Drosophila melanogaster: one gene and its partner. The protein of the gene in region 1 interacts with the protein of each later gene in a pairwise test. Each region holds a gene or a part of one and is shown in the gene's direction. Other genes may lie near its edges. The genes, in order: Tbc1d22 and CG8230.

Region 1 (5,308 bases):
AGTGTGGTGAAGATCTTCTCAGTAAAGTACGGGTTGTGGGTCATATCGATCAGCTTCCAAACGGTAATCTCGAAGTCGTGATGCTCCTTGAGCAGGATGATCAGAGTGGTGCGCTCCTCGAGCACCAGCGTCTGCTGTAGTATGTAGGACAGTAGATCCAGTGTCGACGAGATCTTGTGCAACATCTCGTTGTCGTCCACCTTGACGTGGATGCGCTCCACGCCGTCGGTGTTCTTATAAAGATTGTCGTGAATCGGCTGCATAATCTCCGACAGAATCTCCAGGGTAACAGCCTTATCGTGCAGCTTGTCGCAGGACTTGTACACCATGTTGTAAAGCACTTGGCGGGCCTCCCGCACCACGTACAGCGTGTGATCGTTGTTGGAATACTGGATGAGCAGCGTCCAGATCCGGTGCATCCGCAGAAAGGCCAGCCCCATGCTATACACGGTGATGGCTTTCATCAGACGTATGCCACCTAACTTAATCGATGGGCTTAAGTTGTGTTCCCTCTGTAGTAGTTTCACTGCTCTAAAATGGTAGTCGATTATTTTAAGAGATTAGAGCCTGGTTTTCTATCCTACCATTTACCTGTTTACTATATCAAGCTCTCTTAGGCGCACGATCATCCACTCGTTGTTCGCCAGAAAACTGGTCAGATTCAGCATGAAGGATATCACCTTCGGGTGGATCTTTTTGAAGTCCTCGGTCACCGCCGTGATGCACCTGTCCACCCATTCCACCACGAATGGGGCCTGCAGCACAAAGGCATTCTCTGCGGACAGATGGGATTCATTTGAGGATTTAAGGGCAGATTGCGGGGCCACTCCGATTGGTAAACTCACCCTTGGCCTGCAAGTGCGTGAGGAGCTTCTCAAAGTAAACATTGTTCGTAGTGGAAAAGTTCTCGCGTAAAAATATGTCGAATATCGTTCGCAGGCGCGACAGCGTCTCTTCTTGCTTTTGCATCTTGCTGTTTCCACACTGACTGCTTAAATGGCGACTGCCCCTTATGGCATAGTTTTGGAGCTTGCAATTGATCCACCGAATAATGAAATCGTTGATTGCGGGTTCTGGTTCTTATCACACCGAAAGACACTTGTTTTGTATTGAGTGGCCGTGTACGTTTGCAGTCGAAATCCAAAGCGCATTCGCCAGGGTTGCCAGGTGAGCGGTCAAAGTCACGCATCGAAACATATAACGGTGCATAGTTTCCCTTTTATTCTTTGCTAATAAGTAATACCATTACTACCATTAATTAAAATTACCTAATTATACTACTTAATATTGCAGAAAGAAGAACTCTGTACAAAACATTTTCGTTATGTTTATACCTCAAAGATTACGGTCTTTATTAAATATTTTTTAATTACATACCTTTTTTCCATATTTCTAAAAGCTTTTGCATAGAAAAATGTCTTGAATTACGAGTTTTCATTTTTAATCATTTATATCTCTTGATCGACTCGTCGGAACTATACTAGGTTCACTCTTCTCCACAAGTAATGGGTATCAATATGGTTCGGTTTCGCACCAGTCACTTGATCACGATACGCTCTCATCACTACCAAGAAGTGTCGTGCGGTGAAAGCCGTAAATAGTTGCCATGGTCACACTGTTTTTGATGCAAAATAATATAATGACGCTGACATAGAATCGGCTCTAGGGAACGTATGATGGATAACAATGTAGAGCAATTAGCAGGAAAGAGCCAAACTGAAACAGCCGAGTCCACAGCAGCAGCAACAGGAACAGCAGGAGCAGGTGTAGCAGTAGTAACCGTGGCAAGTGGAGCCGGACCAACGCCCGGCGCAAACTCCTCGACCTTTTGGAAAAACAGCGGACGTCGAGTGCCCGGACGACCCAGTCCCAAGCGGGAGCTCGAGAAGGCGGCGGCAGTTGGGGTAGCGGTCGGTCGCGGCGCTGCCCCCGGATCTGGCATGGTGTCCACCTTCACCGAGTACCAGAAGTCGGTGAGCGATGCCTGGGACATGGGTGACGACGAGTTCTGCATCATCAGCAGCACGGAGGCGGCTGCCGCGGCCGTTGGAGCTGGCGGTGGGTTCCGCAACCCCGATGGTTTTCCTCAACCTCTGATCTCGTTTTGATCCCCCAACAGATGCGGCTCATTTCTCCCGGCAAGTGTCGCAGACGGTGGCTCTCAACGTGATCGAGACGCACTCTCGAAGCAACCAGAACCATAATGCATCCCGGTCAGCAAACGAAAGTGGCGCAGATTTGGTCCCAGTCAGCAGTAGCTCGACGGACGACTGCAAGGAAGACCGTAGATCTCTGCCGGACAGTAATGAAAACAGGTGAGCGGCGCCAACTCAACTGGGAAGTCAAAAAGAAAGTTGAACCCAATGCCTGCAGTTGTGCAAATAAGTCAGGGGTGTAGAGCGGATCGAACCCGCTTTCTGAATTATTTCCTAGGTGCTATTTAAAAAGCATTAACGTGTTTATTATCAAAGTAGAAACTAAAGATATGAAGAATTCCGTCATATGGGAGTTGAAATACTTACAATAGATTCAAATTTTGAAACGGTACTTTACAATATACAATATACAATATTACTATGTAATTAGGTTAAAATTACCTATATATGTTGTTAATCATTGGGGCGCTCCTAACTTATTATTGCCATTCGCCACGTTTTAACGAGTATTAACACCAACTTGGCAACCGCTCCTGAAGCATTTCACTTTCTTAACTGATAGCCACTCCCAGCTATTCCCACAGAGCAATGTCGGGAGACGCGGAACTAAGACCGAAAGTAATCAAGACTTCAACGGTTAGTAATATATATTGCCATTTCAGATCTAGATTGAGGAACTACCCGGGCAGACCGCAATTGCAGAAGATCAGCTCGAATTGCCAGGACAGCGAGTACGAGACGAAAATTGAAAAATTCCAAGTGGTGCTAGACTCGCCTCAACTGGACTTGGTGGCCCTCAAGAAGATCAGCTGGTCTGGCGTGCCTCGGAAGGTGAGAATCGAACAAATATTTCGTTGTGTAATTCTAATTAAACCGAACTCCAGATGCGCGCTGTCAGCTGGCGACTCCTTTCGAAGTATCTTCCGCCTTCAAGTGAGCGAAGGATGGCGGTGCTAGAGAGCAAGCGGCAGGGCTACCAGGACCTCAGGCACAACTACTTCCGGGTGGATAGCCAGGATGAGACGCAACAGGACACATACCGCCAGATCCACATCGATGTGCCACGAATGAACCCCCAGATTCCGCTCTTCCAGCAGCAGCTTGTCCAGGAGATGTTCGAGCGCATACTCTTTATCTGGGCCATTCGCCATCCTGCCTCCGGCTACGTGCAAGGCATCAACGACCTGGTCACGCCCTTCTTTATCGTCTTTCTACAGGAGGCCTTGACGCCGAATACGGATCTCGAAAAGTACGACATGTCCACGCTGCCCGAGGAGACTCGAAACATTATCGAGGCGGACTCGTTTTGGTGCTTATCTAAGTTTCTCGACTGCATTCAGGATAACTACATCTTTGCCCAGCTGGGCATACAGGAGAAGGTTAACCAACTCAAGGATCTGATACAGCGCATTGACGGTGAGTGGGAATGCTTTACCTTTGCCCGTAGATAGACGCCACATCAAGATTACCTTACAATAAAAGTGATCAAATATAGATAGAGATATGTTAATGCTCTTGTGATAAGATAAATTGGAAGGCAAGCACCATGCCCAATGCCTAAGCAAAGAAAAGCCTCATCAAAGTCAAGCCATTTTGATGTGCCCTGTCAAAGATACCAAGGATGCTTTAAATTTTACATATTTACACACGTTTTTCCAGAAGCCATATGGTGTAAGATAGCTCTTGGTCAATAGGCTATGACACGTATAAACATTTTTAAGATCGCAAATGTTCGGAACAAATAAAAATAATTACTAGATAAGCCAATTGGACATGCAACCTACAATTGCCGAGTGATGATAATAAATTGTAATTTGTGCTTTCAGTGAACTTACATCGTCATCTACAGGCACATGGCGTCGACTACTTGCAATTCTCATTTCGCTGGATGAACAATCTGCTGACACGCGAGCTGCCGCTGCACTGCACCATCCGATTGTGGGACACATATCTCGCAGAGTCTGACGGCTTTGCCCTGTTCCACTTGTACGTGTGCGCGGCATTCCTTCTGCACTGGAAGGAGCAGCTGATGCAACAAAACGATTTCCAGGTGAGTCTCCAGACGAAAAGATCTTCCCTTCCTGCAACGTCTACTAATCATTGCCATCTTGCTATGTGATAGGGCCTCATGTTGCTGCTACAAAATCTGCCAACACACAACTGGTCCGATCGACAAATCAACGTTCTGCTGGCCGAGGCATTCCGCCTGAAGTTCACGTATGCGGATGCGCCCAAGCATTTGGAGACGAAGAGTTGACAAAAGCAACACAAACAACGCATATACGTAACTTAGAAGTTAGTTTATTACGATTTGCGGAATATACCTACACAATACACGTACGCTACATACATCTAATAATTATATACAATTTGTTATTTAGACGTTCCTCTCCGTTTGTTTTCATTCTATGTCGTTTTCGTTTTGTATTTATCAACAATCCGTACGTAGGCAACCGCTAAAGTTCTGCGCTTTTTGTACATAAGAATCAAAAATTCAAAATACAATTTTACACGTTCAACGGGTCGAGCTGTTTCAATTGAAATTTGTCTTTTATAAAAACAAATCGAATCAAATGTAATGAGAACTAAATACTTTTTCCATGTGAAAATTCAAATTAGCCTAAACAATAAAGATGAAAAGCTATAGTTTATGATTACACGAATTCAACAAGGACTTAAAGCGACTAACTACAAGCCTGATATTTCTAATTCTGTCTATCGGCAATGTGCTTAAGCTGCTTGAGCACCGTCTCCAAAAGCTTCTTCTTGTCATTCTTTCGCACCAACGAGAAAATTGGCTTTTTGTCCGCCTCGCGGATCTTTTCCAGTATCACAATAATGGACTGCGGTTGCACCAGATGGTAGCGGTTCTCTTGCTTGCCATAGTCATGGAAATACGTGCTCCATTCCTCTAGAATGAGCAGGTCCAACAGCTGACGGTTACGTAGGAAGTACTTGCTCAGCTCTCCTTCCTTTAGACCAGGCACAGGTTCCGAGGCCGCAAAAAACTCGCACTGCATCAGATCCAAGTTGATTTGTGTGAGTGCTCCCGTGGAAATCTGCTTCACATCCTCGTCATACATGATCGAGTAAATCTTCTCTGCAATGTGCTCGAAGGTGCGTCGGCAGGCCGCCTGGGCGATGTGGGGCAG
Region 2 (5,494 bases), on another chromosome or scaffold:
CCGGGGCACTTGAACCTAGTTGCCAACTGCCGGCGTAAATTGTTTCTGCTGCGTAGTTGCCTGTGTGGGCGGGGGCCGTCGGGCAGTGGGCCAAGTTTATTGTTTGTTTGGATTGATATATATAAAACGAGCGAAAAACTAAATTTGTCTCCCTATCTTATCTCCCGCAGGCGCCGACGTTGTCCACACAGGCCACGACGCACTGCAGCCATGGCTTCACCACCAGCTCGTCGTCGCCCAACCGTGTGGTGACCCGCTCTGCCACCATGCTGGCGCTCTTCGGCATCGCGCTGTCCTCGTTCAGCCTTAAGCAACTGCTGGCCAAGAAGCAGAAGCACCAGGGCCTGCGCAAGCTCTAGAATGGAGCTATAGCCAGAAAGATTAGAGCGATGCCAACGCCAACGGTTGAAGCGGCGATGAGGAGCCAGAGCGCCATGTCCTGAGGTCACACATTCGATATTTTCATCATCCGCCATCATCGTGTATATTTGCCTAAGTTAAGTCACCCACTCACCACAGACCCAAGCGGAACTCGGACATGGAGGCTTGTTTTGTAATATTCTGTTCGATAAACTAACTGATCGGAGGCGAGGATCTGTGCGCATATATAGATATATTTTCTTGTTTACACATGCACACCATGCGTCGCCAACTAAAAGGAATAAATTTGTGATAAATCGTGTATGAAAAAAGCCCATCGGCAGACAAACTGAACGAAGGAGCGATGGAGGAGAAGATTCGCTGAGCTTGCGGGAATCCCAAATTTTCCTATACTCTTTTGTTGCCCGTTTTAGTAATATTTATTTTATGTGTAAACAAGTCTATTATATACGTATATTTATTTACAAGTTATTTGCAAACCAGAGAAACGACTAAGTAGGGAGGTATAAAACAATAATGACTTCGTTGGACTGCAGATCGCCGAGCAGGCTGTGTCAGTATCCAAGAAACAAACTAGTTCTAGTTCCGTATTCAAATAAATGCATTATATTCAATTCGAAAATATTGATTTTTATTTCTAGTTTCCGTTAAAACATGCATGCTAAAGCACATATGAATATTAAGCCAGCACCTAGAGGTTATGAATAAAACATTTTTAACATTTTCCTATAGTTCCTAGTCTAATATAAAAAATAATTATTTGTTCCTCGGGTTAGTGACTCGTTGATGATTTGCGTGAAAACTAAGTACTTTAAAAGAATCAACAGCATAACATAAACTTTCGGCTGTCAAGGCCTAGATACTCTATACCCTTGAAAAGTTATATTTACGTTAAAATAGCTTATCCACCATCCGTAAGTTCGCTGTAAATCCCCAATCTATTGAATAGTTTCTTTTTTCTTGTTTATGCAAATAAATACTTTAATTCCCAAAAAATAATGTTGTGGTTATTAATAATATTAATATTAATAAGCCAACATATTATCTAAAAATATATAATATATGGTTCGCCTAAAATTCTTTAATTTCTTTATCACTTCTAAAATAATAAAGTGCCAAGGACAGTTTCCGAAGAATTGCTTTAGCAATTGCATTTCATTGTAGAGGCGTTAATGTCTTGAATTACATTTTTAGGACATTTATATGGACAGCACATAAACGTGTTTCAACATCCGAAGGTTCAAAAAATTTAGTTTCAGCTTCAAAAATCCGCATTTGAATTTTGCGCCACATGTGACAAAAGTATTGCGCAGCGGCGGCACCACAGCTGCACGGATTTCCGCAGCGCTGAGCGAGGGTCACACTGGAAGGGTAAGCACCTCACCCCCCCGCTCAATGATCAAGTGACGTGCCACCAATATAACCATTGGCCGGCCAACAGCACTCTTTCGACTGCGGAATGGGCATCAACGTCAGCAGGACGGCCGACCTGGGGTCCAACCAGTGGCTCCAGCGCTTCGTGGGCCGCCAGCACATCGCCCACGATGACGAGGCCTTCTGGAACGGGCTGCTCAACTACAACATTGTGCTGCCGGAGAACAGGTGAGTGGAGTGGAACAGGAGTGGAGCAACAACGTCAGCAGGGCTAATCTCGGGCGGTTTGAAATGGTGTGTGTTTCAGTCAGGACCAGCTCAACCTGGACAGCCGGCTAGAGGCGCTGTGCCAGTCGTTCATCGGCAATAACCTGAAGACGGGCAACTTTGGCTCCCTGGTGACCGTGTTCCTGGAGAAGACCAGCGAGCTGCTGTCGCTGTCGGACCAGGAAAGCAACATGCACGTCTGGCAGACCTTCAACGCGCTCTTCATCATCCGCAGCCTGGTCAAGTACATCAACGAGACGGGCTCTGAGTTCCAGCTGCTGCAGCACTTTGAGGCTATGCCGAATGCAGAGCTGCTGCAAGCGGCATTGGAGCAGCAGCAACAGACGCCGGCGGAGAGCGCCACCATTGCCATGGAGGCCACCGAACAGTCGGCGGCGGCTGCGGTTCCAGTGATTGTGGACGGATCTAAGTTTGAGACCTTCATCGATGCCCTGGTGAACCTAATCGTCGTGATTCCCGTCAAGGAGTTCACCTACCACCTGCACCTAGAGGCCGTTAACATGCTGATCACCCTGCTGTCAGTGCATCTGTTTGCCCAACAGCCCACGGACAAGTCCATCGTGTTCCGGACGGTCTTCAAGTGTCAGCACGCAAACGTGCTGATGTCGGCACTGCTGCATTTTGTGGCGCGTATTGTGGAGGTGCCGCACACCATGTTTGGGTCCAGCTCTGCTGGATCCTTTGTCTTTGGCATCGCGGAGTCGCTGCTTTCCATCTTCACGTTCCGTAAGCAGCCAGACATACTGAAAGCGGGCCAAGCAGCCGGCGGTGGAGAGCTCTCGCAGCGATTCCGTACCCACTACCCACTGGCCAACCAGAGCCTGTTGCTGATCCTGATACTGACTAACCACTGCACGGCACAGGATAACGCCTATCGGACTAGCCTTTTCAGTTGCGCCGATTCAAAGGATTCACCAAAACAGGGAGCTGTCTCCTTCCAGATCGACTTCTCGGCGGTATATGAGACATTGTGTACCATCGTTACCATCGACCAGGCCACGCTGCTGCTCTATCTGCTGCTCCATCGCAACGAGCGCTTCTACCGGTTCGTCATGCAGCAACAGGACTTGGAGCAGTTGGTGATCCCCATCCTCCAGACACTGTACAACGCCCCCGATAGCAACTCACATCACATCTACATGTCCTTGATCGTGCTGCTGATCCTGAGTGAAGACGAGGGCTTCAACAAGAATGTGCACACCATAGTAGGTCATCTGTGCGTGCTAATAGTTGCATTACTAATCCTTTCTCATCCCTGTAGATGCTAAAAAACATCACATGGTATACGGAACGCACCATATCGGAGATATCGCTGGGCGGCATCCTAATCCTTATCGTCATCCGCACCATACAGTACAACATGCTGAAGATGCGCGACAAGTACTTGCACACCAATTGCCTGGCGGCGCTGGCCAACATGTCCGGCCACTTCCGCGCTCTACACCCTTACGTGGCACAGCGACTGGTCTCGCTGTTCGAAACGCTCGCTCGGAAGCATACGCGCCTGGATGCGCAGCTCAAGGAGCCGGCCGATAGCGCAGTGTTTGTGAACGTCTCGACGACCCCGGAAGACATGCTACAAGATCTGAGCGTGCTGGAGGAGGTGTTGCGCATGGTGCTGGAAATCCTAAACTCCTGCCTCACAAACCAGTTGGTCTACTGTCCCAACTTGGTGTACACTCTTTTGTACAAGCGCAGCGTCTTCGAGGGCTTCCGCAGTCACCACGCCTTCCAGGATGTCATCCAAAACATAGACATGGTATGCGCACTAGTTCCGATCCGATTATGCGATGTGTCTCATGCTGTCTTCGTTTTCAGGTTGTCGGTTTCTTCTCCTCGCGTCTGCAGCGTGTCCAGGAGCAGAGAGGCGAGCTTGGGGTCAATGAAGTGCTCGAGGTTATATCTAAAGGTGCCAGTCAGTGGTCCAGCGATCGACTGAGAGTAAGTAATCCGCTCGATGAGTTACTCACTCAAATCGCAGGCTCACTTATTCTTTTTGTGTTTATCCTGCAGAAGTTCCCGGATCTTAAGTTTAAGTACGTCGAGGAGGACGCTCCCGAGGAGTTCTTCATTCCATATGTGTGGACGTTGGTCTGCAAGTACGGCTGCGTGCACTTCAGCTCGGAGAGCATCAAGAGCGTGACCACGGACATAGCCTGCTAATATTTACTGCTCTATCCCTTCCTCTCACGCACACACCCGGCTCCGCTTTGGTTTCCACCATGTTTCGATGCTTCTCCGTTTGTCTTCTGTGCGGGATTACCCGATCTTTAAGCCATATACCACGCCCTACCTTTTGATCCAACCCAAAATGTCGAAATGCAGTATCAAAAACAAAACAAAGCAAGAGAAATGTTGCGCTAAATAAGAGGCATGCGCATCTCGAACGTTGACGACAAGAGGAGACAAAGCAAACGAGAGAACTAACGATAATACATAGACATAGCTACGCTTATACTAATGTGTATGTTAACAAGCAATCCGGTCGGAAATTGTTGTTCAAGTTAAAATATAGCAACCTTGAAACATGATCATATTTTGCCAAGCCGACTGCAATGAGCATGTTTAGAGGGAAGTTAAGCTCCGTACGCCTACAGATCGATGTTCTAATCAATGGGAAGCAGCAAATCCAATAAAAAGTATATATACATATTAAAGAATCGGAATATACAATATATGCAAAATATATTTACATTTTAGTCTATGGTAATTATATATTGTATTGTATTTAGCAATTGAAAACGTCGATAAACTATATATTAACTAAAGTTAACGCTCTTGTGTTTTTTCTTCTGTCTATGGCAGCCTTTAGTGTTATCTGCGGAAAGCCCAAATTTATTTGGGTTGGTTTTTATCAGAACAAGAATGTGATTAGATCTTCTTTGCAATTCGTCATCGGAACGTGGCAGTGTTTTATGAAAAAAGTAGTTGGTCTTTTGAAATGGATTTATCATTAAAAACGAAGTTCACTTCTTGGAAAGAATTCAGTGTTGAGAAGTATTGGTTAGTCATATTACTTCAAGATTCATTGGGTTCGTATTTGGTCAGTTTATTTTAAGCTAAATATCCACATATCCCAATGGGTATTCATTATATTTCGCCAAAGAAATATCGCCAAACGGAAGCTTCAAATGAAGTTTCCTTTATTACGTATACGCCGGGTAAACAATGCTTAAGCACCTCTTCTCCCGTTTATCATTTCCACTACGCATACGGGCTTCGCTGTTTGCACTTCATTGTGCATATTTGCACTATCGGCTGCAACAACAACGATGATGGGCTGGCTGCCTTGTTTATTGTTTATTACTACTGCTACGTTTTTTTCCCACCACCAGCTTCATCGGCTAAATATGTGACTAAAAAGCCGCGGGAAAAACGACGAGATGACTTTTACTGCCTGCTTACATTGGGGTTCGTTGACTTGAACGGCTGGGCGGTAAAGGGGGCTGGA

What was found.
Region 2: the proteins of Tbc1d22 (region 1) and CG8230 interact in a two-hybrid assay, tested with the Drosophila melanogaster proteins (one large-scale study listed by BioGRID).

Annotation. Positions count from the first base shown.
Region 1 is NT_033777.3:21,100,604-21,105,911, forward strand, and holds Tbc1d22 (TBC1 domain family member 22), read left to right. Parts: upstream 1-1,595; 5' UTR 1,596-1,673; coding exon 1,674-2,058; exon of another isoform or gene 2,059-2,119; coding exon 2,120-2,315; intron 2,316-2,818; coding exon 2,819-2,987; intron 2,988-3,040; coding exon 3,041-3,572; intron 3,573-3,982; coding exon 3,983-4,206; intron 4,207-4,278; coding exon 4,279-4,413; 3' UTR 4,414-4,510; downstream 4,511-5,308. Other genes in the region: CG7044 (uncharacterized protein), read right to left, coding at 1-531, 592-775, 846-969; Sec15 (secretory 15), read right to left, coding at 4,862-5,308.
Region 2 is NT_033778.4:8,943,618-8,949,111, reverse strand, and holds CG8230 (uncharacterized protein), read left to right. Parts: upstream 1-1,767; 5' UTR 1,768-1,840; coding exon 1,841-1,983; intron 1,984-2,062; coding exon 2,063-3,248; intron 3,249-3,304; coding exon 3,305-3,802; intron 3,803-3,861; coding exon 3,862-3,984; intron 3,985-4,056; coding exon 4,057-4,206; 3' UTR 4,207-4,814; downstream 4,815-5,494. Other genes in the region: CG33199 (uncharacterized protein), read left to right, coding at 171-359.